2 linked regions of the Tribolium castaneum genome follow. The protein of the gene in region 1 purifies or fractionates together with the protein of each later gene. This does not show direct contact. Links are inferred from orthologs where the notes say so. Each region holds a gene or a part of one and is shown on either strand. Other genes may lie near its edges.

What was found.
Region 2: the proteins of Dredd (region 1) and uncharacterized protein LOC103312947 purify together in Drosophila melanogaster (affinity purification with western blotting; 5 studies listed by BioGRID, with this or other methods). This does not show direct contact. The link is inferred for Tribolium castaneum from reciprocal best matches to the Drosophila melanogaster genes Dredd and Fadd.

What each region holds. Positions count from the first base shown.
Region 1 is NC_087398.1:10,949,636-10,966,904, reverse strand, and holds Dredd (caspase-8), read left to right. Parts: upstream 1-6,194; 5' UTR 6,195-6,306; coding exon 6,307-6,406; intron 6,407-6,415; exon of another isoform or gene 6,416-6,468; intron 6,469-6,518; coding exon 6,519-6,643; intron 6,644-6,687; coding exon 6,688-7,479; intron 7,480-9,151; coding exon 9,152-9,368; intron 9,369-9,422; coding exon 9,423-9,563; intron 9,564-9,616; coding exon 9,617-9,944; intron 9,945-10,583; coding exon 10,584-10,650; 3' UTR 10,651-11,244; downstream 11,245-17,269. Other genes in the region: ubiquitin-conjugating enzyme E2 N, read right to left, coding at 1,963-2,418; leucine-rich repeat-containing protein 15, read left to right, coding at 4,615-5,943; thiamine transporter 1, read right to left, coding at 13,204-13,233, 13,362-13,667. UniProt on the Drosophila melanogaster protein: Effector of the programmed cell death (PCD) activators rpr, grim and hid. May play an apoptotic role in the germline as well as soma. Fadd interacts with Dredd to promote cleavage of Dredd and is necessary and sufficient for enhancing Dredd-induced apoptosis.
Region 2 is NC_087398.1:10,606,209-10,621,932, forward strand, and holds uncharacterized protein LOC103312947, read right to left. Parts: upstream 8,168-15,724; 5' UTR 8,005-8,167; coding exon 7,680-8,004; intron 7,632-7,679; coding exon 7,345-7,631; 3' UTR 7,289-7,344; downstream 1-7,288. Other genes in the region: Lmpt (prickle planar cell polarity protein 3-B), read left to right, coding at 2,356-2,870; eukaryotic translation initiation factor 4E-1A, read left to right, coding at 6,157-6,183, 6,336-6,511, 6,565-6,742, 6,793-6,880, 6,968-7,131.

The sequences.
Region 1 (17,269 bases):
TAAATTAAAACACGGGGTGTTATTATTGCGTATGAAACCGTTTTAAAAGAATTTAATTTTTTTAATGACCAAATTCTATTGCGATTAGGATTGTTAAATAACGTTGCCATATATCATTTATTTTTATTTAAAGTTCCTTATTCACCAATATATTTAAGACAGATTTTTTTACTATTTTTACCTTTATATAAAAACATTCCTCCACCATACCACATTGAGTTGGTGCGCTAATTTTTGAGCATTCTGTATTTAATTAATTACACAGACTTAATTATAATATCACACCAGAAATTCAATTTGCTATACAGATTACATTTTTTGCTTGGTTTTAGTTCGGATTCTTAAGTGAATAACCCTGTATAATAATTTTGTTTTAGAAATCTCTGGAAAATCAATCTGGCATTTCAGAATTTTTTTTTTTTGAATTGACCACTGTTCCCAAAGCTTTCATAAATTTTACAACCCTAATCTGCAAGCAGAAATATTCTCCTGAGATAGAAAAAAAATTCTTCGATTTTAGTGCATTTTTTAAACAAAAACTTTCTTTCTTTCTGTTTCTTTAACCAAAATCGCAGCGTTCTGAAAAATATGAAACGGAACACAAATTCTAAACAAAAAAAATCATCCCAAACAATGTTGTTTGTATTTAATTGTCAGTAGGCCTTGACAATATTAAAAAAAAGCAAGTAGTACGTCGTACTGCTTTCCAATACCAGGGAAAGCAAAATTTATTTTTTTTTCTATAGCAGGTGTTAAACTACAATGTGTTCAAAAATGGTTGTTCATCAAGCCGACTTGATGTCGGCAAAGTTGTTTCAAGTGTATAGGGTTTGTCTTGATTTGTGTTTTACATTTCCGTGATTTTTGTTGTTTTTTGTTCATTTGTTTTTAGCATTTTTGCATTATTTTGACGTATCTGTCACTTTCACTTTCATAGGTGACTTGATGAACAATCATTTCTGAACAGTGTGTATTTCTTTTTTTATCAACTCTTTTGAGTAAATAAAACAGCACTTTAACCGCAAGGGTAGATAAAATGTTTTAATTAAAATAAATATATTTTATTCAATTAAAATTACCAATTTCCAACATATTAATATGAGGGATTAACAGATTAACAATAACTTTTTTCTTAAACTTCGTTAGTATTATACACGACGTTAAAGATTGTTTATCTGCTCGTCAAATAAGTCCATTCCTAAGTTCCGTCATTCTTGAACATAAATTCTTTTCACTCGTAGATAAACAATTTCTTTATCGTCTTGTTTAATAAATATTTTCTCATGCCTGTGACGGAAATTTTAGTCGTTTCTCAGTTTATTAAGAAGCCGCACCAAATTTTTGACGACAAAAAATCGAGTTAGTTTGTAATCTCATTTTGTCTATTAGTTAGTTAGGCTTTGATTCTAAAATAAAGTTGTTACCTACTTATTTTTTTAATGCATTTTACGTCGAATCATTTAAATTGGTCGGTTTATGGAAGCCTTATTAATAACCATTAATTTAATTTATTCAATCAGCATTAATTGAAAAATCACGTGACTGAATCGAACCAACCAGATCTCACATTCACGACTAATGACAAATTAACTTTTAACTACACATTGAATTTTAAGTTTTTCAAGTTGCATAAAGATAGTAGTAAATTTTGATTGTGAGATTGGTACAAGAAGTAATTATTTATTTCAAAAAAAAAAAAAAATAAGGAAAAAATACATCTTAATGTGTTCAAAGTTCAAACCCATTTTACACCCATTTTTTCGAACGATGATGGTTTATTAGAAGTAATTATTTCTCAACTAACTTTTATTTTTTAATAACTTGGCGAAAATAAACATGACTTCGTAATATTACATGAACCATCTGCTTGTATTTACCTTTTGTGCTAAAAACAATATCAAAAACCTCTTACGGCCGCCACTGTAAACACAAAGAACAAAAAATAGTATTTTAATTAATAAATCACTCCATGGCGTAAATCCTGGTCCAGTCCTTGGCCCTGATGATGGCTTCACTGGTCCTTGTTTTCCAAGTGTAAGCCACATCGTTGGCCAAAGGGTCGTCTGGATTCGGACTACTCAGCAAGGCTTGAATCGAGAGCAAAACGGTGCGAATTTGCAAAGCCGGCGACCACTGCTCTTTCAAAATATCCAGACAAATCCTCCCCAATTTGTCAATATTCGGATGATAGATTTTGGTCAAGAAGCGCACGTTTGGAGGCGTTAGGGGGTAGTTTTCGGGGAGGAACAGCTCGAGTCGGAAGAGACCGCCTTCGTAGGGGGATCCCTGAGGACCGGCCATCACGATGTGGAAGTAACGGCAGTTTTCATCGTCCGGGATAGCACTAATGCCAGGAGGCGGGTCTTTGGAGAGGTTCTTCGTTTCAACGAGGATGCGGCGAGTTGTGCCGTTTGCCATGATCTGGAATTTGGGTTAGGGGGTTTGGAGGCTTGGGGGAACTCAATGGAGGGGAATTACTGGAGTTTAGGGGGTGCTAGGCATTGTGACAGGTGACAGGTGTCAAATTCTCTTCGAAGGATTGATTTTTGGCTTCTTTATTAAGCTGGTGTTTTTGTAATGAACAATGAACAATAATAATAATGATTACGCAAAAAACGCGTTATCTAATGCTCTCCTGATTCTATAAGGAATATTAGTTATTCATTTCTCTTGGAACCGCAGTTATGTTTTAACATTTTAACCATTATTTCCCATTTCATTTCATAGTAGAATTTTGCAACAGAGCGCATTTGAAATAAAGCTCAAATATCAGAAAAGAGTTCTGTGTTGGCGATAAATTTTGAGCCAAGAAAACCCACCAGAAACTCTCAATTCGCGCTTGATATCGTCCCAAAAATGCAAATTAATGCGTTGTTGCAAAATTCTACTATAAACTGAAATGGGATACCATTTTTTATTTGTAATTTATTTTAATTTCGAATTTAATTTAATTCAATCACCAAATTTGCTGCTCTCTTTACCACCTTCTAATTCTAAAACTTATTACTGATTCAATACATCTTTTGAGAACTTTTTAAAGTCACCAACACAAAGTTATACACTAAAATTATTTCAACTATACAACAGTTTCATTTCCTTTGCGTCCACTCAAATGTTCGTTTTCCAATTCTGCATCGAATGATGAAAAATAAATAGTGGTTTCCATTTAAGATTGAAAAACTTATTGGAAGTAAATTATGAACACTCTGTAGCAATTCAGATCAATCAAACTTAATTAGTAAGTCTCTTGGACCTTGTTCAACACGCACTTTGTAATAATTTCATTCAAAAAGCTCGGTTTCCTTTATTATTATTATTGTTATATTATTATTATTATTATTATTATTATTATTATTATTATTATTATTATTATTATTATTATTATTGTTATTATTGTTATTATATTATTATTATTATTGTTATTATATTATTATTATTATTATTATTATTATTATTATTATTATTATTTCCTAATTTTTTAAATTAAAGATGTAAAACCATTTTTTTTGCAGCGATATGAAAAAACTTTAGGGACAGGTAAGAAACTAAAGGGGTATCTTAATGATCGCAAAAAGTAATAGCATGCCGTTAAAAAAAGTATCCATGAAATAAACCCACACAATAAAGGCGCACAAGAAGAAAGTCTACAGAAAAAGCCCACACAGAAAAAAACTCACACCGAAAAATATTCATACGGAAAAAAACACATAGAAAAAAACATACAAACACAAAAGCCCACCCAGAATGAAAAAAGACCATTCAGAAAAAAAACTCACATGAATAAAAGCCCCACTGTCCAAAAAGCTCACGGAAAAATTAATTCACTGGAAAAAAAGCACTTTCTGCAGTCGTCGATACATTTATAAAAATTATAATTATTCGGATAACAATAAAAATATTTTAGAATCATTTTTTGTTACAATTCTATTAAAGAAAAGAGTAAATTAGTATAATGAAAAGGGATACTGTGCAATTTTTTAGACAAAGACATCTTATTTTTATTTGTTGTGATTTTTTTCTTTTAGTTATAAATTTAAAATTTTGGAAAAATTATCACGGCTTTTCAACGTCTAGCTTGACCTAAACTGAGTGATCTGTCCGCATCTATCATTCTTTTCGCATTAATTTGTTGAATTGTTAAAGTGATGTAGGGGAGAGTAGAGTAAAATGATCCCAAAAATCAAGAAAACTAGTAGTAGTAAGGTAACATTATTTTCTGGCCAAAAAGTAGTATACGTAGTAAGAAAAGAAAAATCTGGTCAAATAAAATAGAACTGCACAATCTGATACACTTTAATGTGTATCTTAGTTGTTTTATTAATACAGCTAGCATAATCTAATGCAATTTTCAATTAGGTGTAACTGTTTTTTCAACTACATAGAATTCTCTTAAAAGATAAATAGCACAAAACAATTTTTAGTGCAAAATTTTAAAATTTTGCGCCAATTATTGTTTGCACGATGAGTCAATTATAATTTCTCAATTCTCAGCGTGAATTATGCAGAACTTATCACAACATCTTTCTGACCCTGAAGCCACCAACTACGACCTTCAGAACTCTATTTACATTCCCATCATCGATAAAGACTACCAGTTTTCAAGCTACTGTTAAAATGTTAAAAACAACTGTGATTTCTTTACTTTTGATTGGTGTAACACGAGCTGAAACCATTTCTTTCAAAAATGTAACACTGGAATGGAAAACAAGCACAGATCGTAACACCACAACCATTCCATCATCAGCCAACCTTCGAGACAACATCCCAAAGCTTCAGACCGAGATTTCGGTGGTTTTGAGTGGTTTAGTGCCTGTTTTATACCCAAAATCAGTGAGTGGTGTACCAACTTTAAAATCACTAACAGTATCAAACGTCGGCTTGAGAGAAATAAAACCAGGAGCGATTGAAAATTTACCACTTCTGGCCCATTTGATTTTAAATCGCAATGAGCTCAAAGTTATTGAACGAGGAACTTTCACAAACTTAAACCTGACAAGTGTGAATTTAGGTGACAATGAAATTTCCAAACTCGAACTTGGGGCTTTCAAAAACCTCAAAATTCACCATCTCACACTCAGTAACAACAAAATTTCTGAGATTCGAAACGGGACTTTTGAAAACGTCTCACTCCAAAGCTTGAATTTGTACGGAAATGGGCTCCGAAAAATCGACGGACCAATCACAAACTTAACAAATCTGGTCCTGAGCAACAACAATTTGACCGAAATCGATTTGCATTTCCCTGATTTAAAATATCTCGACTTGAGTTTCAATTCCATTCAAGTTCTAAAGCCCGGAGACTTGAAAAATCTTCCCGCACTGGACACGTTGGACCTCACCGCTAATACCCTTCACCACGTCCCTGAAGGTGTCTTCAGTCAGTCGAAACTGGTAACTTTGAAACTAAATTACAACCAAATCGCGAAAATCGAACCCAAGTCATTCGACGACATGTCTCAGCTCAGTGTTTTGCACATCGACCACAACAACTTAACCCAATGGGATGACAAATGGTTGAGTAATTCCCCCAAGTTGGCCTACATTTTCGCCGGTTTTAACCGAATTGGAGCTTTGCCGGGCCAAGCCTTCCGGAATTATCCCCAAATGTACAGCATTGATTTGCAAGGAAATTTGATTAAAGAAGTTTCACGGGAAAGTTTCGCGGGGTTGGAGAAAGTGGTGAATTTTAGTTTGAGGGATAATTTGATTGTGGATTTGGACCCAGAATGGCTGGCTAATGCGACGGTGGGAAGTGTGGATTTGAGTGGAAATAAGCTGGGGTGTGTGGAGGGAAATTTAGAGGAGGCTTTCAGAAGGGTGGACTTTGTGCATCTGGAGGGGAATCCCTGGCGGGAGGATTGTGTGGAAAAGATTAAAACATTTCTTTCCCAGTGGCCAAAAATAAAACGCATTGTTAGTTCTGTGTCACAACAACCAATTTGATCTAATATTGATTAAAAACTTTGTTTGTAGTTTTATTGTTGTCCCAGAGCGAAATTATTAAATTTACCGCCTGTTTGAATGGCGTTCTACACGATTGCGTCCTATGTTTAGTAGGATATTTTCTGTTTTGATTAAGAATTTAATTAAAGTATTAACGTAAAAAATTAAATTTTGTTGTTCCAAATCAATTCGCAGCCAATTTATCGATATCGCAGTCATCTTTTTATTGATTTACTGTTTGGCTCATGTCCTTTGATTAAAACCTAGGGATTTTTCGCATGGATGCCATCACGGGGAAGTCCCTTGTTGAGTTACGTGTTTTAATCAGTTTATCGAATTAATTGTTATTTAAAACCAACGACAATGGGTGGATTGTTTTCAAGCCAAGGAAATGATTATTCCGACGATTCGTGTTCCGAAGAGGAAAGCAACGAGGTGTCGTGCAAAAATCAACCTACCTTTGGTAAATTTGTTTATCAACTTTTGATCTCAAGTGTCATTTTTTGCAACATAACCCCACTTTTTGTTACGTATTTAATTCCAGTAATTTAGTATTAATTTGAGCGATGTTTTAGATGAGGACAATTGTTTGGACTCCACTGACACCATAGACGCCAGTTTATCGCAACCAGCGATGCCAATAACGCTAAATGTGGACCAAGTTATGTCCATTGAAAACGACTTGGATGACTACGAGAAGGTAGTTATTTCTGGGAGCTATCCTTTAATAAAGAATGGTTACAGGTGGCCCTTGTGTTTTTGATTTACGAAGACCCCAAATCTGCGTTTGTTCAACTAACGAAATTGCTCCAAGGGTCCCATGACAAACTCTTGTATAATTGGGCAATTCATGAGAACTTAGCCGGTCGGAAGTGGCAAGAAAAGCTGGTTGAGGCACTTTGCATCATCCAGAATTACCAAATCATATCAAGTTTGGGCTTCAAACGGGAGGATTTAACCGCTCGGTTTTTACCGCACCACATTTTCACGTACGCCTATGTGAACAAAGTCAGAAAGGCCCTCTATTTCGTCTGCGAGGCGTTGCAGCAGAAGGACGTTGAGAATTTGCTCAACTTGGCGTGTAAGGACTTCAGGGAGAAGGGGCTGGATTTTAAGTGCATTAATGCGCAATTTTTGGAGTTGTATTTGCTGCATTGGGAGACTGTGGGGTACGTAAAACTGGACGATTTGAGTAATTTGTGTAGAGTTCTCAAGCAAATTGACCAGTTGGATATTTGTGATAAACTGAGAGAAATTGTGCCAATTGTGCACAAATCTGCTGAGAGTAGAAGTGTAGATAAAAGAGTAGATTCTAGTGAGAGTGAAAAAAGACAGTCAGTGAGTGTGTTTGAGGGAATTTTAGATCCAAAGTCCAGTTTGCTTAGTCTGGCCTCGCTGGAGACGTCGCATATCAGTGCAGACAATGCAGCTTTTGTCAGCGATGAAAATAAATATTTTATTGATCCAGAAAGACCTGGCATTTGTTTGATCATCAATCAAGAGAATTTCTACAGAGAAGTGGACAGAAAATATCGAGTAAGTTGGGGGAGAGGTGTTTTGTACCATGCTCTCAAAATTTCTGATCAAAAATTGACAAAAGAAAAAAATATGTAAGGTTCTAAGGAGTAACTGTTGATTTGTCATTGTTTTTTATAGTTAAAAGACCTTTAATTAAGCTCTGTTTTCTGCAAAAATTACGAAAATCCTTGTAGGGATTGTCACTTGCATTTGTCTTGCCAAGGTATTTTGAGAAAACAAAAAAAAATTATTAATGCGTTAAGCAGTGATTGTAAGTTCATCATTTTTTTACAACCAAAGGGTGTTTTAAGAAAATATGCTTGGAAAAAATACTGTTTGCTTGTGAAAACTTAAGAAGAGTAGGTAATAAAAAAAATTACAATTGTATGTTCTTTCTAAATCCAATCTTAATTATTATCTCTCAGACTAGTTGATATCTCGTATTAAATATTTGTAACCAAGCATTAACGAGGTAAAAACTAAAAATAATTTTAGAGTTTTTATAAAAAATAAACGTTTAAATGAAAAAATGAAATGAAACTGTATGCTGTTTTCTAAATAAAATAATAAATGGGCGGTCTATTTCCAACAGGTAACATCTCTAGCTTTACTTAACTTTTCAGGAAACGAGTGAAACGTTTCCTGAAAATAAAATAAAATAATAAAAGTAAGGATAAGAATTTAAGTATAAGGTTTTCATAATTTTGATTAGCATAAGTTAATGCAAAAGAAATGCATATTTCTGTATTAATAAAGACAAGGACAAGCTTACAAAATTAAGCGAATGCTTCTGCTAATTGTTTGACTTATCAAATTATAGACAACTGGAGGCAAAAATAAAAGCTGCAGCCATATACAGAGCTTAATATGTATTTTTTATACAATTTGCAATAATTTAATAACTTATTTTTTAAAGTAAACAAGTGTAAAGTAAACAAAATCATAATATAATAGTCCTCAAAAGTACTCACATTCACATTATTTTCAATTATTATTTTTTGCAGGCTAAGAACTTTTAAATTCATAAATATAAAAGATTTTTTGTTTCATCTGTTTTTGAAGTAAAGGCGTTAATAGATGAAGATCTAACATGTCGCGGTGGAAATTTTTTAAGAGTATTCCATATTGAGGGAAACTCTTCTTGTATTCTTCTGCTGAATTAGCTCCATTCTATTCCATTAGGAATTTTTGTTAATGTAGGATTAGGTATTCCCCTATAAAAGTTTCATAGCTTTATTTTTTTATTGCCAGTTACATTTTTATCTGTTTTTTTTTTATATATAGCAGTATGTATGTTTATCAATTATTTTGTAATAATTTTACTATAACTAAAAATTCGGATTCTTTTTTCTCACGCAAAGATTCATGATAAGATGAGAAATCCCGAGGCATTCTACAATGGTATAATTAATAATTATTCTAACTGTAGAGTATTTTATTTTGCATCTTTTACGTGTCTTCCTTCTCTTATGAAATCCTTAAACCAGAAATTAAATTCAATTTACTTGAAGGAAGTGATACTTCAAGTTTTTTAAGTGACACACAAGAGACAAACAATTCCTTAGAATCATAAGCAAATGCTTTAAGTAAAAGCATTTTATTAATACCACCCATTAATCCAGTCTTTCCGAGTCATTTATTTGATCAGAAATTTAGTAGAAAGCACTTCGTAATGTTTCTTCATTACTAGCACTTGCTTCCACGCCGGGACAACAAATTAGAACTTAGGATTGGTACACAATACGACCGAGACAAGCTTGAAGCCACTTTCCGACAATTTGGTTTCAAAACTATTGTAGAAAATAATCTCACTCATTTGGAAATGCTACGAAAAATAGAAGAAGTAGTGCAAAGCGTTAACGATGAGTCGAGCCTTTTCATTTCTATAATGTCTCATGGTGATGTAGGTTGGTTGATTTATTTTCCTTGTGATGCAGTTATTTATCTTTTATCTCTATTAGGTGTCGTTTACGGCGTTAATAGTTGCCAAGTCGACGTCAAAGCAATTAAACGTGTGATGTGTACCAAAAATCGCCCACATTTATCGGGGAAACCCAAAGTTTTAATCCTCCAGTCTTGTCAAGGCACCAGATGTCAAAAAAGTACGATTGGTTGATTCTTGTAACTTTATAAAAATTTATTTTTATTGTATTAGTTCAGTCAGATGACGATGACATTGAAACAGACGGTCCTTCGTCACCTGTCCAAGAATCAGTCCCGCCAATAGCAGATTTGTTCACTTTCTGGGCCACAGTTCCAGGCTATGGTGCAATAAGGAACAAAAAAACAGGATCCTGGTTTATTCAGTCCTTGTGCGGAAAAATGAAAGAATTGGGGCATAAGTACCATTTCGATGATATCTGCACCAGTGTTATAGGGGACGTAAGTAGGAAAAAATGGTGCCAAGAGAAGGACGAAGTGGCAATGGTGCCAGAAAAGGAGTCCACATTCAGGAAACTGTTTTATCTGCCACCCGTTAGAGTGTAAGTTTTTAAAAAATTATTAAGCAATATGATTTTTAAATTAAGTTGGTGACACTGAAAAACTGAAAAATGTTGCTAACTTAATTTCAATTATATTTAATTTTTTTAATGAAAACTCAAATAATTTTTGTTCAAAAAATAAACCAAAAAATTCGAAAACAGTCTTTTATTAACTCATAAAAACAGTGCATTTAATACTGACTAATTGCGACCTAATCAAGTCTAACTGTCTGCTTTTCGGTAATCTCTCTTTGAGCTCAGCCAACTCGCTAATCCAATAGCGATGTATATCACACTAATAGCGATATGGAAAATCCCATATACGAAATACTGATTTCGGGGGCCTAGGGCAAAGCCCACCCCTTTAGTGACCACAACCATCGTCAAAATCGACTGAAACGCCAACGCAACAAACGTATTAATTCCAAAAACCAGCCCATAACTGTCCTCCTTAATGCATTTGGCGATTTCAGCGCTGGCTATCGTAATCATAAAGTGGTAAAGCCCCCCAAAGGCTATATAACAGATATAACTCAAAATAACGTATTTAGTTCGCGACGTATAAAGCAGAATGAATCCGCTCATCAGCGAGCACAGCGTCAGAGCCAACTCGCCCTTCATTTTCCAATCCACCCTCAGAACGCCGGCCAGCAGCGCCCCCATGAACCCCAGTACGGTCAGGACCGACTCAACAGCCCCGTTGTAAATGGGGATAGTCGGGTCGTCCTGAATCGTGTTCCACAGCACTTGCATGTAGCACTGGACTTGGATGAAGCCGCACGTGGAGAGGGCCCACCAGAAGGACCATTTCAGGACGTAGCGGTTGGAGAAGGACTCCACCAGGTGCGTTTTCATCAGAGTGAAAGCGTTGAGGAATTTTCGCGAGTAGCGCTCGTCGATTTCCCGGTGGAAGTAGATGGTTTTTCGGACGGAAGGCAGGAAGAGGCTCCAGAGGGTGGCCGCCAGCATGGACGAGAAGGTGATGTAGTTCAAGTCGCGATAGGTCGCGCTGTCGAGCGAGATGAGCAATTGGGCCACGATGCCGGAGATGGCGCGGCCAGCGAGGATGGCAGCCCTGGTGTGCGAAGTCACCTGCTGGTAAAACTCTTTGGGGACTTTGGCGTAGATGTAGGTGTAGTAGGCCACCTCCGTGGCCATGAACGTGCCATAGAAGACCTGTTAGTTGTGCAATAGTTACATCACAAGTTGCAAAAGGGAAAATTTCCACTCAAATACGCAATTATAATATTCCATTGTGAACACAAATTAGCCCAATTAAAATATATTCACTTAACACAGATTAGAGACCTGCTCACTGCTATAGAATTTATAATTGGAGTAGGCAGATTTTTATGATCGTTAAACTATAGCGCAAACTGAGGGAAAAATGTATTCCGATTGAATCTAAACATTACTATTTGACTCTTCAGCTTGATCAGTTACTATAATCGGCGTTTTCATTCAAGTTAAAAAACTAATAAAGCCGACCCTAATTATAAATTCAAATAATCACATGGTGATTAAAGTAGCAGCTACTTTATTTGTTCCCTTGAATCAAAATTTTCTGAGATAAACGTGATTTTTCTAATTACCGTTTTCTAATTACCTTATTTCTACCAATTCCCGAAAAGTGGTTAAAAAATAAAATAAACTGTTTTTTGTAAAGACTCGAAATAGAAAAATAGTGTTAAATAAATACTGCTGTGAAGGAAAAATTTAGTTTTAATACAGGGTATTTCAATTTTTAGTGCCAGTCAAAAAATAAATACTTCTAGTTGCCCAGAATAAAAAAATTATATCGGCAACAATAGAGTTTCTAATACGCTTCAGTTTGATGCGTATAAGCGTAAAATGCAAAAAACTATTTTAATTTTTTTTTGTTTCCAAATTATTGAAATCGTTTTCTCATAATAAAACTCTTTTTTTGTGAGAATTCCGAAATTGATATAATAAAAAACTTAAGGCGATTTGCGCAAATGAAATTTTAATGTGGTTAAGATTTTAATTCCTGACTCCAAAAAATTTAAGCACACTGTTGGCATTTTTTTTTAGTTTTGAAACATACATTACTAAAGAACAACTCGTCAGACTACATACCACACAAGTTTTATTGTAAATAACTATTTTTAGCCGCTTTTCGCGAACTGACAAACATTATTTTGACCTAATTAATACTAATAAATTGTAAATACTTTACAGTAATTTATAAAAAAACAACTTTATCTTACAAAACTTTGATTTAGAGAACAAATCGGTTAGCTGTTGGATTTAAAACGCCAAAGAAATGACGAATATTAGGACTAAATTGCTAAATTCTAATTAATCTCAAGCGATTTAAATTATAAAGAAGCTATTTTTTCGTGAAATTAATTAATTCTTTAATTATTTACCATATTTGGACCTCGAAATATTTGCAAAAAAATTAAGCTCCAAACCTAGAGAAGACGGACGCCACTGCCCATGATTTTTTTTACATTAACTGTAACTTTGTTTTCTTTCACCAAAAACTTATTTGAACTATTAACTTCATTTCGTCTCGACTGTCTCTTAAAATAAAAAACTTTCTCCTATCTTGAAAAGCTCGCTACATAAAAAAATATGCTACAAGAAAATTTTTAATTTTTTAGTTTCTTTTGTATACTACGTTAAAATGTATATTTACTGGAGAATCTTTTGCACAAACAAAGTTGCTAGCTTTATGCAGAAGGAAGAGATGTAAACAAAAAATTTGTCCAATTTTAGTTTTTTCTAAATTTTTTGCTTTACGTTTAATTAGGTATCCTAAACTCTGTTAATTTGAATAATTGCAAAAAAGTCAAGAGAACATTTTTATGTAAAATTTTATTCTTTACAATTTTTATTCAAAACTTTTTTCTTGTTCTAACCAATTTTGAATATGTACTAATTTAAAAAAACACTATTTTCGAAAAATTGTTTACTTCACAATAATAACTTATATCAAAAATGTAAGCTTATGCTCAACATTTTGATTTAAAGGGTTATTTATTTCACTGGACTAAATTACACGAACTGAGATTATGTAATTGCCACGATTGTTTTTCACAATAATAAAAGTATTTTCGCCACAATAGTTGATTTTTCTCTTGGTTTTGGGGCCGAGCGGCCCCTCTGCTTAGCCCTAGCCCCAATTAGCACGACTGTGTGGCTTTTTTAAGGATTTGCGAATTGAGGTTATGTAATTCTTGGGTCCATTTTTGCCAATAAAAAGTATAATAGCGCTAGTTATCGCAATTATGGATTATTTTTGGATAGAGCAGCCCCTCGGCGCCTGAAATGAAATATATGATGCAACTGAGCTACATTTGAGGTTATGTCTCTTATCAGTGGCGCCTAATTTGAATTTTTTTGCTACCAGCTAAATCGAGAGCTAAAAATTTCATGCTTGATCGGTCTTACTTCAAGGACTTGTAGTTCGAAGAGGCTCTTGGTCCACAGTAGCATGCTCCATACCACCACCCCCGAGAGTCCCAACAGGACAATCAAAGGTTTGTACCTGCACAGGTCGGTAATGAGGAAGGCCACAATCGATTGGGCCAAGTAACTGTATGTTCCCACTGGATAGACTTGTTCGGTGACTTCCTCCTTGCTGACATTCCTCCAAGGCCCCACCAAGAACTCGTAAACGAAGGGTTCGGACGGTCTGATCTCCTTCAGAAAGCCAAAAATCGACAAAAGGAGCGAAATTTTGAACCAATCGTTCATCGCGGCGATTTCGATTTAAATTAAGTACCAATAGCCACAGTCGGAGACACAGCAAAGTAACATGACCTCTGTTTTTCGGACGTTTTATTACATCACACCATCAGTCAGCGATTTCGCCTATTCAGGGGTTAACAAGCTTCAAGTTACACGCATTATTTAAAGCAATTTGTGCAATATTACTGAATCGAAGGTTATTTAACATTGTGAGTGGGGACCTCGGCGCGTGTTTACCCGAGCTTATCGTATGTTTTTGGCGAATTACGCATCCTTAAACCGTATCGCTAAAACAAACCCAATAAAATCATGTTTATTGAACAAATTTTCCCAAAAGTTGTAAACCGATTTGAAAAGCCCGCGCCGGATGCGATTGGCTACAGCTGTTCCAAGGTTACGTCTTCAACTTTCTAGCGACCGAGCGCCATCTGGCCCAGCTTTTCCGAACCAATTTTCAAGTGTTGTCTTTGGGGCCGTATTTTTCAAAATTGGTTAAGTTTGCGTGTGTGGGGCTCCCCGAACTTGGGGTTTGTTGAATGGGGCGCCTTTTTGGCGGGCTCTTAATTGACGAAGAGGGCGGGAAAGTGTGCCAGAGAAGTTAACGAGTTCAGTGGTAATCCGGCCATGTTTATTGCAGACAGAAACTGGAAAGTAGGCTTCGCGTTTGTGTATTGTTTTGAGTGAAAATTTTCAATTTTTCCGACTTGATGTGGTTTATGTGACTATTTTGAGGAGCATGGAGTCAACAGATAGAGGTATGTTATTCATTTTTGCCCAGATTTAGACACACTGTGAGGGATTCCAGACACAAAGGGCAATGGCAAAGTCAGGGTCGAACTATTTGGTTCACTGACCGCATTTACAACACGACCCCAAATTTACACACAAACCGAAAAAAAAACACAAAACAAGCCAAAACACACGCCAAATTCACCGAAACGACTCGAAAAACCCCCGAAATTTTAATTTCTTGATCCAAAAAAATGTTTCCATTACTCCACCAAAAGTCCCATAGAACATAAACCGGGTCCTAAGAACAATTTTCCCAAATTTCACTTTTGTATTAAAAAAAAACAAGAATCTAAATATTGTAGATTTCTTTCCGAGCAACAAGTGCCAGAAGATCCGGACAGGTGTCGCAACCAGTCAAGATAATTAATTCCCGCTGGCTCGAATTCCCACCCGTTCAAATAATTTTCCTGACCTGACCTGATTGCTGTATCGAGCTGACAGCCTTGACCTAAAATCGGAGCTGCGAAGGTCACCCTACCCTTTAATAAATTTTGATTTATCGAAATGAGATTCAAACTTTTTACAATTCAGATGTGATCGAGCAAAAAACGGAGATAAGTGCGATAAATTCGTTAAAAGATGATTGCGCAAAATATATTACAAACAAATGAATAGGCATGAAGATTGTCTATTGTTTCGTTTGTTGGTGGTTTTTCGTTCATGTTTTATAAATTTTATTTTCGATGTCGTCCTTGGGATTTGACAAGGTGATGGTAAATATAAATCTGGAAATGTTTCTGCTTCATTTGACTTGCCGAAACGTTTAATTAATTACAGTACGACATTCCAATTAAATATTTTTGGAGAGTAATTTCTCGTTTCTACGTTTCGGAGTGATGCTTTTAGCGTCACAATTAGTTAATTAAAGGTAAATTAAGTAATAACTGTCCAATAAACTCTTGCTTCTTTGAGTCGATAACATCAAAAAACACAATGTTGTAAAAGATTGTACATCATTGACCTTACCCGAGTGTTTTTTGCTTGGCATTGGGTTTAATTGACAATTTAATAATGGAAATGATTATTTAAGACTGATAAATGTGTTACTATAGTTGAGCTAATTTCGGATGAATAAACTTATCGTGATTGTTATCAATTTTTTATTCAATTTTCGTAATGTTACGAAATTTATTGAATGATCGTTTTTATGCTAGAATTTTATCTTGTGAGTTTAAATAGTCTTGTTTTATTACATGAAAGAGTCAATTTGAAGGGAGAAACAGAATGTTTAAACAGAGGTGACCTATTTCCGTGATCACGAACATCGAAGGACGGACAGTTTATCAAAAAGTTTATCTGTGTTACAAAAAAACTCGACACGATTTATTATTTTTTAAATTAATTGTTGAAAATAAGTGCAGTTGTAAATTTTACGACCAGCGATTTTAAACTGACAAGAGGCAGTTTCTTTAACTTTGAATTTTATTGTACAACTTTATATTCAAATGGTGATGCTAACTTTACTGCCATAAAACTTTTATCGAGTCTTTAGAGTGTGTGTGACATTTTTTGCTATAGTATTTTGGAATGTGTTGCGATTTTCTTTATACAAAAGAAGAAATCTTCTCAAAAACAGGGTTTCTGTGATTAATTCTTTATCGAATTGATAATTTTGCCATCATTTTAATAAAAATTATAAATTTTTGGGAGAAAGGAAGAGAAAAATACCAATTTTTTGGACTTCGTTCAGCCAGAAATCAGAAACGTAATTGTTTCGCCAAATGTAACCAAAAATACGCCGAAAATGGTGTTACTTTTTTATGTGAGATTTTATTGAAATGGAAAAAAGTTTTTGCGACCGTTTTAGCACGTTACCAGAAATGCGATTAGATTTTTTAAATAATTCAGTTCAAAATAAGTCGAAAAGTCGTTTATGGCGTCGTTTATAATTTATAACGTTTATAGTTTTGTCTTTTTTTCGAAAAACACCTGAAAGTTTACTTTGCTGGATCGAAAAGTACATTACTTTGCCCGTTTTTAGCACATTTTCAGTACGAAACTTGGTTTAGTAAAATTACACCAAAAATTAATCGAAAAATTGGGAAATTAGTACAAAAATGAAGCAGTTGTTGCATTTTTTGAGCATTTAACATAGTACTGAGAAAAAAATGCAGTTTTGTTTTTACAAATTCTGCGTTATACAGGGTTATTAAAAATTCTTGCAGCAACTCTTGGGTAGTAAATAAAGGATATCAAACTGATTTAAAAGTTTCTATGACAAAAAATTGTTTGAGCCTTTTTTCACGAGTTATAGCTCTTTAAAGTTAGATTTTTTGGTTGACAAAAACAACCCTTTTTTTAAATATAAAAAATTGCAAGATAATATAGGAGTACAAAAGGGAATGTTTACCTACAGTTGTTTAAGTAATTTTAATAAAAATTTCTGGACGTTAAAATAACTTCAAAATATAAAATACTTTCTTCTTTTACATTTCTAGAATCTTCCTATAATATTTTATTAAGTAATAATAATTTATTTATTAATTTATTATTGAATGTGCACTAAAAAGACTAAAAAATCACCAAATCGTGAAAAAATAGTGTTTTTTAACTTTTTTGACCCCTTAGACACATTTTTACATTTTTGAGCTAAAAATTCAGTTTTTGTGAAAGTTTGAAAGATCACAAAACTATCAAAAATTTCGGCGTTATGTTTGGATTTTCACTCAAAAACGCAAGTATTTTGCTAAAAATATACCAAAAAAATCACCGTGTATCAAAACTTTATTTTTACTTTTTGCAAACGAGTGTGTATACATTTTTCAGTATGACAATCGTTTATATTTTACAAAATTTCCATAAAAATTGCCGAAAAA
Region 2 (15,724 bases), about 340 kb from region 1:
ATATAAATAGACTGTGGAGGAAGGAAATATACTACACACAAATTATGAAATACAGTGTGTAGTTATGTTTCCGGTAATTAAAAATTTTACTCGCTGTAAAAAATCTAGTCTTTGAAAATTGCCGAGGTTCGAATTTTCCTTTAATGTCCTTTATATCATAAAGAAAATGTTTTTCTTTTGTTAAATAACTAGAAATTTATTTCCGAATCTCTACTGACTGTGCCAATTTCATTTGTAAAAACTACATTTTTTTCTGAAATACATTTGATACTTTCTGACATTAATCTGCTCGTAATACAATACGTTCTGAACTACAATTGGAAAAGGTGTAGCCTTGGTTTTGTATTTGCCAGCAAGATGATATAACATTCTTTAAAAAATGTTATACAAGCGTCTAATCTTTTGGTGGTAATAAAGTGGTATTATGGAAAAATGCGATTTGTTTTGTTTGTCGCAATTGCATTCCTACTTCAGTAAATACCTGTAATCTATGACACGAAGTAATACATATAATTGTTTTCAAATAAAATTTTTAAAACTGTTTCAAACACTTATAATTTCTGTTGGTAACGTTATAGCATTTTTTTGTTTTTAATTCCGAATTAAAGGGGCAGTGCTTGCATGATATTAACGTAAATAATTTTGAAAGCGTTTCTGGGTGATGCTAAATTTACTTTTTATATAGTAAAATCTGTTTTTTTTTTTAATTAAACAGAAATGTTCAATGTTGCAACGTTGGTACCACCAACAAATTCATTCCAGGTAATTTTAATATTCACAAAAGAACTTGACGTTTATTTTGAAAAAAAAATGTCAGTAAACCAGTAATTTAAGAAAATTTAGAGATGAAAAAAATAAACTAGGAACAAATTCGAATAAGAACAGTCAAAAAAAATCATTTCAAAACTGTTTTAAGAAAGGGTAGATTAAGCTTTGAGGCAACCGTTTCAACTTTAACTATACTCCTTGAAATTTAGTTCATTTGTTCTGTCACTGATTGATTTACAATGTATTCAATAATGGTTGTTCATCAAGTTGACTATGAAATTTAAAATCATTCAAATGACTATCGTAATTTTTCTGTCAAGTCTTTGAACTAGCTTTTTACTCACTTTTTGGCACTTTTCGGCAAAGTTTTTTTAAGTGTAGGGTTTGTCTTGATTTGTGTTTTATATTTCCGCGATTTTTGTTGTTATGTATTCTCTTAAATTTGAAGTATTTTTACATTATTTTGACGGATCTGTCACTTTGACGGTATTCACAATTTAAATTAGGCGGCACATTGCAAAGGTGACTTGATGAACAAGCATTTTTGAACACATTGTATTTTTAGATAAAAGTTTAAGAACTTATTTTCATATTTTTGTTACTAATAAAGTTTTTTTTTTGGTTTTTGAGAATATGTAGTTTAAAAAATTGCTAATATCTGTGCTAATACAGTGTTTCTGGATCAGTCTGTATTATAACAGTAACAAATTTGCACCTTGCACATTTAGCGACCAAATAGTTGCAGTGTCAAAATGAGTGTTATTAAAACTGCATGTTTGACACCAAATTTATTAATGATTAGGCAGAAATCAAAAAACAAGCGATTTTGGGTTAATCCCATTATTAGCCAAAGACTATTCAAGAGGCAGTTTTTATAAATTATTTGAACTGTTATCGAAGCATCCTGAAAAAAGTTTCAGATATTTTCGGATCGATCTTTTGAATGTGTTTGTATTTTTTTGATTTTTTTTAATGTACAAGCCATCGTAATTTCGAAGATTTTTTATACTTATAATACTTATAATTTCACATCTCTTCAAAGGCCTACTCTATGGCAGCACCTCAAAATTTATTATCTGATATACTACAATTTCTTAAAAAAAAGAAGGAAATATTTGTTAAGTTTAATGAACAAAGTTTATTTTTATTTGTTTTTTCAAAAACCAGGAGAGCATTTCAATTTTATAGGAATTGTTCAAACATCTCATTCATAATTTCTGCTGTAAATTTTTGTGTAATTATTCTTTCGATTTAAGTTGTTACGACGCAGTTTTACATTTTCTCACAGATCAGTGCCATTGCCGCAAATTTTTCGACAAAATGCCAATTTTTAGAGTATATTTAAAGTGCAAGAGCAACTAAATAATCGCAGAAGGAATAATTATTGCAACGATTTGCCAAGTTATGTATCGAATTCACGTTTTTATGAAGATACAACTCATTTATCTTACAGTTCGCTCTTATTTTTCTTTTGGTAAAATCTTATTGAGTCACTGGACTAAATATCTCAAGTCCACGTAACGTGCCAGCAAAAACTTCAACCATCAACTTGCTATCCACATATCGCATTAACACTGTGCTTTTCAGGAACAAAGAAGATGGAATACAAGACGAGGCAATGGCACGAGAAGTGCTTCTGCTGTTGCGTATGCAAAGTACCGATCGGTACCCAGAGTTTCATTCCTCGCGAGCAAGAGATCTACTGTGCCAAGTGTTACGAAGAGAAATTCGCCACGCGTTGCATCAAATGCAACAAGGTCATCACCAGCGGCGGCGTGACGTACAAGAACGAGCCCTGGCACAGGGAGTGCTTCACCTGCACCCACTGCTCCAAGAGCCTGGCGGGCGAGCGCTTCACCAGCCGCGACGAGAAGCCCTATTGCGCCGAGTGCTTCGGCGAGCTGTTCGCCAAACGGTGCTTCGCCTGCAATAAGCCCATCACCGGCATCGGGGGCACGAAGTTCATCTCGTTCGAGGACAGGCATTGGCACAACGACTGCTTCTTCTGCGCCTCGTGCCGCACCAGTCTAGTGGGCCGTGGCTTCATCACCGACCAGGAAGACATCATCTGTCCCGAATGCGCCAAGCAAAAGTTGATGTAGATTTTACAGATTTCTGTTTTTTTTTAATCAGTGACCATAGCACCGTGACACGCACACACTACACACACACACATCTTACACCACCGAAAAAAACATAAAAGAAAAATACAAAAAAAAACGAGGATACGCTGTTTTTAGAGTAAATGTATTTATTTTTGGAGGATTTATTTTTGTTTGCCATATTATAACATGACGTCAGAGTTGATTGGGACGTAGGATATTCTAAATTTTGACATTACACCACAGCTTCCTTGATTCGTGCAATGACAGTACGTCGAGGATCAAGGAAGCTGTGCCCTATCCAAACAGTTGCCTTAAAAATTTAGTAGTAGAGACCCATGAATATTAAACATATATATTTGTTATAAATTACGGTTGTTATTGCTTCTTAACTGTTAATGTAAGTGTTTTGACAATTTTTTATTGTATATTATTATTACTATTGTAGATAATGTACACAGCTTCATAGCATTTATGAAATGAGCAACTTTGGTGCTATTTGAGTAGTTAGATTAATTTTTTATTATTATTTTCCTAATTTCTAGTTACTGTTTTTCAGTAAATTCTATCTAAATGCTTCATTAACAGAAATGTTACTATTAATATTGATAAATAAACATACATAATATTCGTTTAGAGTTTAACTTTCAGTTGTAAAATGTACGTATTGGTAAATTTGGATTGTTAAAAATTTGTTATGCTTTTAAATACAAGTACAGGGCTTTGCTTTAGGGATATTGTTATATTTAATTCCACAATAAATATCTGAAAGAAAACAAAGACTCTCATCTTAGTCGTTATTTAGCCAACAGAACAATAGTTTTTCGTTGATTTTCCTTAATTAATAAAAATTATTGAATCAAGGTTTTTTGTTTCATGGTATTTTATTAATGATTGCCACAAAATACTAAATACTTAACTCGTACGAGTTAAATGCGAGCTGTACACACTTTTTTTTTTCTATGATTTGAGCGGTCATAATAAAAATTATAAGTTGCTTTAAAATGTTGGAGTTGATTTTAAACGTCAGACTAGTGTCAAACGCTCAAGGCAATCTATAATAATTGCTGTCATGTCGTTACATTTCTATTGGCCACAAGTTGCCCCGTGTTTGTCATATCATAGGATCTTCTGATTGGTCAAAAACCCGTAACACTGTTATTAAAGTACAGGCCACAAAATTTAGCGAAGCCATTATCTCTTATCTGCATAGTTTTTTTTATTACTTATAATTATATGATAAATTTACAATACAGTAAAACCTCTCAACAACGGACACCGTTGGGAATCTTTAATTGTCCGTTGTGGAGAGGTGTTCGCTAATAAAAGGTGGTCACTTTTAATATAAACAATTATTTTTTTTAAATCAACAAATAGATGAAACTCTGACTCTGACAGACAGTGCTTACAGAAAAGGTTTATTGGATCTGCTAAAATCGCAATCTAACACGCAAACGTGTTTTTTAGAATGTATTCATTCTTTAATTTTTTTAATCATGTTTATATAAGTAGAAATCTTTTTTAATTAAAATTAAATAAGGAAATAAACAGTTTTTTTGTTTATTTTTTAATTGTTTGGTTGTTTACAAGACATAATTTTAGCTATTTTTTGAACAACTTCAAATGTCTCAGACAATGAGTGCTAAGGCAAGTTCTGCCATTATTTATTATTATACTATTATTTTCATCTTTTCGTCACTTATTCATAAATAAATCTGGATTTTTTATATATAATTTCTCATCTATTTCTACATGGTTTATAAAACAAATTTTGTTTTTTTGAGCTACTCTTTCGTCTGTTCGTTGTAACAGGTAAATTTATATATGTGGTAATTGGAGATTTTTTGTCGGCGTCAGCTATACAGTGGGTCTGTTGTAACTTTTGTTATGTTCCTACAAAAATGTTTGTTGTAAACAGGTGTCCGCTAGACGGAAGTGTCCATTAAGGGAGGTTTTACTGTACAACTTTTGTTTATAAAAAAAACAACAAAATTTATATGTATTTTTATTTTATTTATTTATTTTACACGAAAAACTACAATTCGTCCGTTTGACCAAATAGTGTAAATATAATAAATAAAAAAATAAAATAAATGCAACAGGCGGCTACAAGGCAGGCGCCAGGCGCTTTACTTGTTATAATTAAATGTAATTAATGATGTACTAATTAGTTTTTTCGTAAGGTACATAGTTTAAGCACAAATCGCTTGGTTCCATACTTTTGGCCAACGCTGTATGCAGAATAGGTACATGTCTGAACCCATGCAGATGAGGGTTATGGGGGTAGAAAAACTAAGACATTAGGTTACATATTTGTTGTTTTAGATTTTTTTGCTGTTGTTTTGTAATTGTTGGACGCTGATTTGGAAACTGCCAACAGATTTTTTTTATCAGCTCTAGTTTTTGAGATAAGAGAACTTAATGTTAGTTTTTTTAATTAAACGGACACCACTTTTAATTATTTCTCTTTGCTTAGATTTTTTTGCTGTTGGTTGCTGTTTTTGAAACAGCCACCAGAATTTTTCTATCAGATCTAGTCTTTTGAGATATAGGTAGGTAACTAATATTAGAATTTATTTGAAAAATGCACCTATTTTTTGGTTTACTTCTTTGTGCCCTGATTTTTTGCTGTTGTTAACTGTTGGACTGATTTTAAAATTACCGACAGATTTTTCCTACCAGCTCAAGTTTTTGTGATTGATTATATTAGAACTTTCCGCATTTTTCATAAGCTCTATTACTGCTCTAAAATGAAAACTTCTAAATTTGGATATCAGATTTGAAACCTACATTTCAAAAAAGATTGCTTAATTGCTGCGTATATTTGGTTGCCTGTACTAGAAAGATGGTCGATTAATGGGTTCAGTATCGCACGATTACAAAATTGTAACATAACATGACAGGCAATTCATATGTATAGTTAATAACGGTCAATAGGAAAATTATCCACCTGCTATTTAAGCCTACAAATCATCTAATTTGGACACTGACAGGGTAGGCAACACATTATATACATATATCAATTGTTTAAATTTATAAAATGGCTATTTTAATTCGCACTTTTGGCGAGTTTTTATGATTTTTGGTACATTTTAAAATAAACGTTTGCTTGTATTTAAGGAAGTTTTTTTGAATCTGCTTAAGTTTGGTATTTGAAAATCCCGCTGTTGGTGTGGCACTATGCAACCGGCCGGTTTCCTTCATTTTACAAAGTTGGCACAGAATCGGTGATAGGTGGAAAAGCAACCAACTTTCATCGCGCTGATTAGCGAATTACTTTAAGAAAATGTCTTCAAATTCGATAGAAAGCGAGGTAAGGCCCTGCTAATCCAACTATAAAAACTTTGGGTCATGTTTCAATCGGTAATTGTTGATATTTTCCAAGATTTGTCACAGCCCCGGCAATTCTGCCATATTGCATTCACATGACCATCCCTTGTAATTTTTTGTGTTGCTTCGCCACAGAACGAAAAAAACGACCTAAAGACTGAGAACGACATAGACATCGCGCAGGATTTTTCCATCAAACACCCGCTCCAAAACTGCTGGACACTTTGGTACTACGAGAATGACAGGAGCCAGACGTGGGAGAAGAACCAGAAGGAAATCGCCTCGTTTCAGACCGTTGAGGACTTCTGGAGGTAGTTATTGTGTTCAGGACACGGTGATGAGTGCTACTTGTGGCAAATTTCAGTTTATACAATCACATTAAGCCCGCAAGTGAGCTGAGACAAGGGAACGACTATTCCCTGTTCAAGAGGGGCATCAGGCCCATGTGGGAGGATGAAGCGAACAAACGCGGGGGGCGTTGGCTTATTAACTTAGACAAGAAACAGAGGACCAACGAGCTTGACCGGTACTGGCTTGATATTGTAAGTTCTTGCATAACGTCCGATTAAATTTCACACTTGACCTCCTTCAGATCTTGTGTCTAATTGGGGAAGCGTTCGAGCATTCGGATGAAATCTGCGGGGCGGTAGTCAATATTCGAGGAAAGGGTGATAAGATCGGTAGGTGACTAATCTAGGTTGGCGATATTGGGTAGTAATTGTTGCCAACTTAACAAGTCATGGGTCACTTCGATTTGTTGATTTCAGGGGTCTGGACTTCCGACGCCACAAAAAGCGCGGCTGTCATCGAAATCGGCAAAAAACTGAAGGAGCGGCTGCATATACCGCCAAGGACGGTTTTAGGATACCAAATCCACAAAGACACTCAGGACAAGTCTGGTTCCGTTACCAAGAATTCATACACCGTTTAATTAGAGTAACCGTTGAAATGTTTTCGTTTTGAGAATGTTCGTATTGGTATTGATTTCCCATGGTTTATTTGAATATATTTATTTCATTTTCTACTTTATTAATCTCGTTTTGTATGCCAGGATATTGTTGCGTTTGTATATAATTAAAGACGAGACACTTGTTTGAACTTTATATTTTTATAAAAATAACAACAGCTCGTTAACAATTATAAATTATGGAAAATCGAATATATCCTGCACTTTCAATCTGAGGTCCTTCCGCCTTGCGTCCGTTAAAGCTTCCAATAATTTACTACGCCACCTATATCTATCACAGTTTTGTTCGTGAAAAGCCAAAATCTTGTAGGCCCTAGCTGATGTGCTCCTCACAGTGTTTAAGTCGTCTATGTCGCCCTCAGGGATGCCCAAAGCCCGAGCAAAGTCGGTCCATTTTTGGCCGATTCCCTCGGCTATGCATTTGTACACCCTATCCTTGGTACTTTTTGGTATTCTAACAAAACCTAAATTCACATTTTTGCATTATAATTACAGTAAAGTGAGGCGACTACCTGAGTATTCCTCTGGACTATGACTATTACAAGCGTTGCAATTAACGTGATTGTCTTCAATTTGAACATTTCTGAGACTGTGTAACACTTCCGGTTGTTTAAACTCACTAGCTATGTCACTCAAAGCCTGGGTGTTACTAGAGTTGAGATAATTTCGTTTTTCCAAAACTTTAATTAGCTCTGACAGCGACCTTATGTTCTCCAACCTTCTGTTAGAGTTGATCACAGTTTGGTACCTCTCCTTCAGGATTTTCAATTGTTCACTTGGACAACGTATACTTGCAATTTCATTGCACAGCATTTTATAATTGGAGTTCGTTGACATTATTTTAGAGCTCAAATCAACCGAGAGACAAGCAATTACATGAATCAGTCTTTAAAACATCACACACTCCTATTTTTAGGTCGATTTTGGCATATTTTTAACCTCAATCTGTCAGTGTCATTTCTAAACGTCACATTACCAATGTCGGTGAAGATAGCACCAAAAATGATGCAGGTACTATGAACATTACAGTCGACCAGACAATTGCTGCGCCCACCATACTCATTTTCTAAAGCCAAGTTCACACCAGAAAAATTATCAAAATAATCGTAAATCATTCGTCAACAAGCTGTTACGCTGACTTGCTTATCACATTTGTAAAACATCTCCTGACCATTCTAATGTGTTTCTATTACAAATTAAAACTTAATTGCATTTAATTTCTGCATTTATTCTCATATTCAAGCAATACACTCTCTTTATATCTTCCAATTTTCTTTATTTTTGCAGGAGATTAAGCCCTCCAATAGGGCCTTCGACCGTAAAACAATCATGTTCTGACAAACACCCCTTGGGACCTTAACGATTTTTTTTTAATTTTTATAAAATTTCTGGATTTTGTAAACTCGTATTTAAGGATTGCTCTAATTAGTCAAATTAATAACTAATTTGTCCAGCAAGAACCACGTGGAGGTTTAGAGCATTCTTGCCAGGAAAAAAGGATATAAGGATGAGGTAAACGATGATTTTTAGAAAATAAAGGGAATAAAGGAGTTAGTGGTTTGTGTAATGAAAAAAAAATACAACACAAAAATATAGTACACCTACCTTCGGATTGCTTCTGCGTTGGCTACTGTTTGTAGCAAAACATTAATAAGAAATTAAAACCACCATTAAAAAAATCTTTATTTGCATTAAAGTTACAACAAGCAACTGTTATCAATATTACACAAAGTAAAGAATACACAATACGTTATAATATATGGTACACAAATTATTAAATTCAATACCTCACAAGATAAACACAAAAAAATGCACCTACCTTCATTTCGCTTCTGCGTTGGCTACTGTTTGTAGCAAAGTTACAACAAGCTACTTTTATCAATATTAAACAAAATAATAAATACACAGTACGTTTCAATATATAATGGCACTCAAATTATTAATTTCAACACCGCATTTAGAGCCGGTGTATACAACATTGTAATTGTAATTAAATTTTAAGGAATTATTGGTTTCTGAAATAAAAAGACAACAACACAAAAATAAAATGGACGTACCTTCATATCGCTTCCACGTTGGCTACCGTTTGTAGCATTAAAAAAATAATAATAATAAAAATGAAACCAAAAAAAAAAAAGTTTATTTGCATTAAATTTTGAGCAAGCCACTTTCATTCATTGAAATTAAAGACAAAATTAATACGTGGCAATAAATTGTTTGAGTGTTTGATTTATTTATAGTTACTGTATTTAGAATGAGTCACTCAAACAATGACTTTTCAACACCGTATTTAGAGCCGGTGTACACAACATTGTAATTGCAATTAAATTTTAAGGAATTATTGGTTGGTGAAATAAAAAGACAACAACACAAAAATAAAATGGACGTACCTTCATATCCCTTCCACATTGGCTACCGTTTGTAGCATTAAAAAAAATTAAAAACAACACCAATGAAAAAATCTTTATTTGCATGAAAATTACAACAAGCGACATAATTTTACGGTTGTAAAAAACAATCAACAATGTTATATTTAAGGATTGCTCTAATTGGTCAAATTAGTCAATAACTAATTAAAAATTAAAAATTAGTCAATAACTAATTTGTCCAGCAAGAACCACGTGGAGGTTTAGAGCATTCTTGCCAGGAAAAAAGGATATAAGGATGAGGTAAACAATGATTATTTGAAAATGAAGGAAATAAAGGAATTATTGGTTTGTGAAATGAAAAAATAGTACACAAAAATCAAACCTTTTTCACTTTGCGTTAAATAAATGCTCTTAGCTTTTGTACTGCATCTGCTACCATTTGTAGCAAACCTAAAAAATAAATTAAAAACACAACCAACAAAAAAATTAATTTGTAGGAAAGTTACAACAAGCGTCTTTAATAAATATTATACAGAATAAAGGATACACAATACGGTATAATATATGGCACACAAGCTATTAAATTCAACACATCACAAGATAAAACGCAAAAAAATGCACCTACCTTCATATGGCTTCTGCGTTGGCTACTGTTTGTAGCAAGACATTTAAAAAATTAAAACAACACCAATAAAAATCTTTATTTGCATGAAAGTTACAACAAGCAATGATTGTCAATATTAAACAAAATAAAAAATACACAATACTTTTCAATATGTGGCAATTCAAATTCAAATCAAATTCAATACCTCAGTAAATAAATGCACCTACCTTCATATCGCTTCCACGTTGGCTACTGTTTGTAGCATTAAAAATAATAATAATAAAAATGAAGCCAAAAATAAATGTCTATTTGCATTAAATTTTGAACAAGCCACTTTCATTCATTGAAATTAAAGATAAAATTATTACGTGGCAATAAATTATTTGAGTGTTTTATTTTATTTATAGTTACTGAATTTAAAATGTGTCACTCAAACTATCACTTTTCAACATCGCATTTAAAGATTTTAATTGCAATTAAGTTTTATGAAATTGTTGGTTTGTGAAATAAATAAATACGACACAGCAATAAAATACACCTACCTTCATATCGCTTCCACGTTGGCTACCGTTTGTAGCATTAAAAATAATAATAATAAAAATGAAGCCAAAAATAAATGTTTATTTGCATTAAATTTTGAGCAAGCCACTTTCATTCATTGAAATTAAAGACAAAATTATTACGTGGCAATAAATTATTTGAGTGTTTTATTTTATTTATAGTTACTGAATTTAAAATGTGTCACTCAAACTATCACTTTTCAACACCGCATTTAAAGATTTTAATTGCAATTAAGTTTTATGAAATTATTGGTTTGTGAAATAAATAAATACGACACAGCAATAAAATACACCTACCTTCATATCGCTTCCACGTTGGCTACCGTTTGTAGCATTAAAAAAAATTAAAAACAACACCAATGAAAAAATCTTTATTTGCATGAAAATTACAACAAGCGACATAATTTTACGGCTGTAAAAAACAATCAACAATGTTATATTTAAGGATTGCTCTAATTGGTCAAATTAGTCAATAACTAATTAAAAATTAAAAATTAGTCAATAACAAATTTCTCCAGCAAGAACCACGTGGAGGTTTAGAGCATTCTTGCCAGGAAAAAAGGATATAAGGATGAGGTAAACAATGATTATTTGAAAATGAAGGAAATAAAGGAATTATTGGTTTGTGAAATGAAAAAATAGTACACAAAAATCAAACCTTTTTCACTTTGCGTTAAATAAATGCTCTTACCTTTTGTACTGCATCTGCTACCATTTGTAGCACACCTAAAAAATAAATTAAAAACACAACCAACAAAAAAATTAATTTGTAGGAAAGTTACAACAAGCGTCTTTAATAAATATTATACAGAATAAAGGATACACAATACGGTATAATATATGGCACACAAGCTATTATATTCAACACATCACAAGATAAAACGCAAAAAAATGCACCTACCTTCATATGGCTTCTGCGTTGGCTACTGTTTGTAGCAAGACATTTAAAAAATTAAAACAACACCAATAAAAATCTTTATTTGCATGAAAGTTACAACAAGCAATGATTGTCAATATTAAACAAAATAAAAAATACACAATACTTTTCAATATGTGGCAATTCAAATTCAAATCAAATTCAATACCTCAGTAAATAAATGCACCTACCTTCATATCGCTTCCACGTTGGCTACTGTTTGTAGCATTAAAAATAATAATAATAAAAATGAAGCCAAAAATAAATGTTTATTTGCATTAAATTTTGAGCAAGCCACTTTCATTCATTGAAATTAAAGATAAAATTATTACGTGGCAATAAATTATTTGAGTGTTTTATTTTATTTATAGTTACTGAATTTAAAATGTGTCACTCAAACTATCACTTTTCAACACCGCATTTAAAGATTTTAATTGCAATTAAGTTTTATAAAATTATTGGTTTGTGAAATAAATAAATACGACACAGCAATAAAATACACCTACCTTCATATCGCTTCCACGTTGGCTACCGTTTGTAGCATTAAAAATAATAATAATAAAAATGAAGCCAAAAATAAATGTCTATTTGCATTAAATTTTGAGCAAGCCACTTTCATTGATTGAAATTAATGATAAAATTATTACGTGGCAATAAATTATTTGAGTGTTTTATTTTATTTATAGTTACTGAATTTAAAATGTGTCACTCAAACTATCACTTTTCAACATCGCATTTAAAGATTTTAATTGCAATTAAGTTTTATAAAATTATTGGTTTGTGAAATAAATAAATACGACACAGCAATAAAATACACCTACCTTCATATCGCTTCCACGTTGGCTACCGTTTGTAGCATTAAAAATAATAATAATAAAAATGAAGCCAAAAATAAATGTCTATTTGCATTAAATTTTGAGCAAGCCACTTTCATTGATTGAAATTAATGATAAAATTATTACGTGGCAATAAATTATTTGAGTGTTTTATTTTATTTATAGTTACTGAATTTAAAATGTGTCACTCAAACTATCACTTTTCAACATCGCATTTAAAGATTTTAATTGCAATTAAGTTTTATAAAATTATTGGTTTGTGAAATAAATAAATACGACACAGCAATAAAATACACCTACCTTCATATCGCATCCACGTTGGCTACCGTTTGTAGCATTAAAAATAATAATAATAAAAATGAAGCCAAAAATAAATGTCTATTTGCATTAAATTTTGAGCAAGCCACTTTCATTGATTGAAATTAAAGATAAAATTATTACGTGGCAATAAATTATTTGAGTGTTTTATTTTATTTATAGTTACTGAATTTAAAATGTGTCACTCAAACTATCACTTTTCAACATCGCATTTAAAGATTTTAATTGCAATTAAGTTTTATAAAATTATTGGTTTGTGAAATAAATAAATACGACACAGCAATAAAATACACCTACCTTCATATCGCTTCCACGTTGGCTACCGTTTGTAGCATTAAAAATAATAATAATAAAAATGAAGCCAAAAATAAATGTCTATTTGCATTAAATTTTGAGCAAGCCACTTTCATTGATTGAAATTAAAGATAAAATTATTACGTGGCAATAAATTATTTGAGTGTTTTATTTTATTTATAGTTACTGAATTTAAAATGTGTCACTCAAACTATCACTTTTCAACATCGCATTTAAAGATTTTAATTGCAATTAAGTTTTATAAAATTATTGGTTTGTGAAATAAATAAATACGACACAGCAATAAAATACACCTACCTTCATATCGCATCCACGTTGGCTACCGTTTGTAGCATTAAAAATAATAATAATAAAAATGAAGCCAAAAATGAATGTTTATTTGCATTAAATTTTGAGCAAGCCACTTTCATTCATTGAAATTAAAGATAAAATTATTACGTGGCAATAAATTATTTGAGTGTTTTATTTTATTTATAGTTACTGAATTTAAAATGTGTCACTCAAACTATCACTTTTCAACATCGCATTTAAAGATTTTAATTGCAATTAAGTTTTATAAAATTATTGGTTTGTGAAATAAATAAATACGACACAGCAATAAAATACACCTACCTTCATATCGCTTCCACGTTGGCTACCGTTTGTAGCATTAAAAATAATAATAATAAAAATGAAGCCAAAAATAAATGTCTATTTGCATTAAATTTTGAGCAAGCCACTTTCATTGATTGAAATTAAAGATAAAATTATTACGTGGCAATAAATTATTTGAGTGTTTTATTTTATTTATAGTTACTGAATTTAAAATGTGTCACTCAAACTATCACTTTTCAACATCGCATTTAAAGATTTTAATTGCAATTAAGTTTTATAAAATTATTGGTTTGTGAAATAAATAAATACGACACAGCAATAAAATACACCTACCTTCATATCGCTTCCACGTTGGCTACCGTTTGTAGCATTAAAAATAATAATAATAAAAATGAAGCCAAAAATAAATGTTTATTTGCATTAAATTTTGAGCAAGCCACTTTCATTCATTGAAATTCAAGGCAAAATTATTACGTGGCAATAAATTATTTGAGTGTTTTATTTTATTTATAGTTACTGAATTTAAAATGTGTCACTCAAACTATCACTTTTCAACATCGCATTTAAAGATTTTAATTGCAATTAAGTTTTATAAAATTATTGGTTTGTGAAATAAATAAATACGACACAGCAATAAAATACACCTACCTTCATATCGCATCCACGTTGGCTACCGTTTGTAGCATTAAAAATAATAATAATAAAAATGAAGCCAAAAATGAATGTTTATTTGCATTAAATTTTGAACAAGCCACTTTCATTCATTGAAATTCAAGGCAAAATTATTACGTGGCAATAAATTATTTGAGTGTTTTATTTTATTTATAGTTACTGAATTTAAAATGTGTCACTCAAACTATCACTTTTCAACATCGCATTTAAAGATTTTAATTGCAATTAAGTTTTATAAAATTATTGGTTTGTGAAATAAATAAATACGACACAGCAATAAAATACACCTACCTTCATATCGCTTCCACGTTGGCTACCGTTTGTAGCATTAAAAATAATAATAATAAAAATGAAGCCAAAAATGAATGTTTATTTGCATTAAATTTTGAACAAGCCACTTTCATTCATTGAAATTCAAGGCAAAATTATTACGTGGCAATAAATTATTTGAGTGTTTTATTTTATTTATAGTTACTGAATTTAAAATGTGTCACTCAAACTATCACTTTTCAACATCGCATTTAAAGATTTTAATTGCAATTAAGTTTTATAAAATTATTGGTTTGTGAAATAAATAAATACGACACAGCAATAAAATACACCTACCTTCATATCGCTTCCACGTTGGCTACCGTTTGTAGCATTAAAAAAAATAAAAATGAAACCAAAAATAAATGTTTATTTGCATTAAATTTTGAGCAAGCTACTTTCATTGATTGAAATTAAAGACAAAATTATTACGTGGCAATAAATTATTTGAGTGTTTTATTTTATTTATAGTTACTGAATTTAAAATGTGTCACTCAAACTATCACATTTCAACATCGCATTTAAAGATTTTAATTGCAATTAAGTTTTATGAAATTATTGGTTTGTGAAATAAATAAATACGACACAGCAATAAAATACACCTACCTTCATATCGCTTCCACGTTGGCTACCGTTTGTAGCATTAAAAATAATAATAATAAAAATGAAGCCAAAAATAAATGTTTATTTGCATTAAATTTTGAGCAAGCCACTTTCATTCATTGAAATTAAAGATAAAATTATTACGTGGCAATAAATTATTTGAGTGTTTTATTTTATTTATAGTTACTGAATTTAAAATGTGTCACTCAAACTATCACTTTTCAACATCGCATTTAAAGATTTTAATTGCAATTAAGTTTTATGAAATTATTGGTTTGTGAAATAAATAAATACGACACAGCAATAAAATACACCTACCTCCATATCGCTTCCACGTTGGCTACCGTTTGTAGCATTAAAAAAAATAAAAATGAAACCAAAAATAAATGTTTATTTGCATTAAATTTTGAGCAAGCTACTTTCATTGATTGAAATTAAAGACAAAATTATTACGTGGCAAT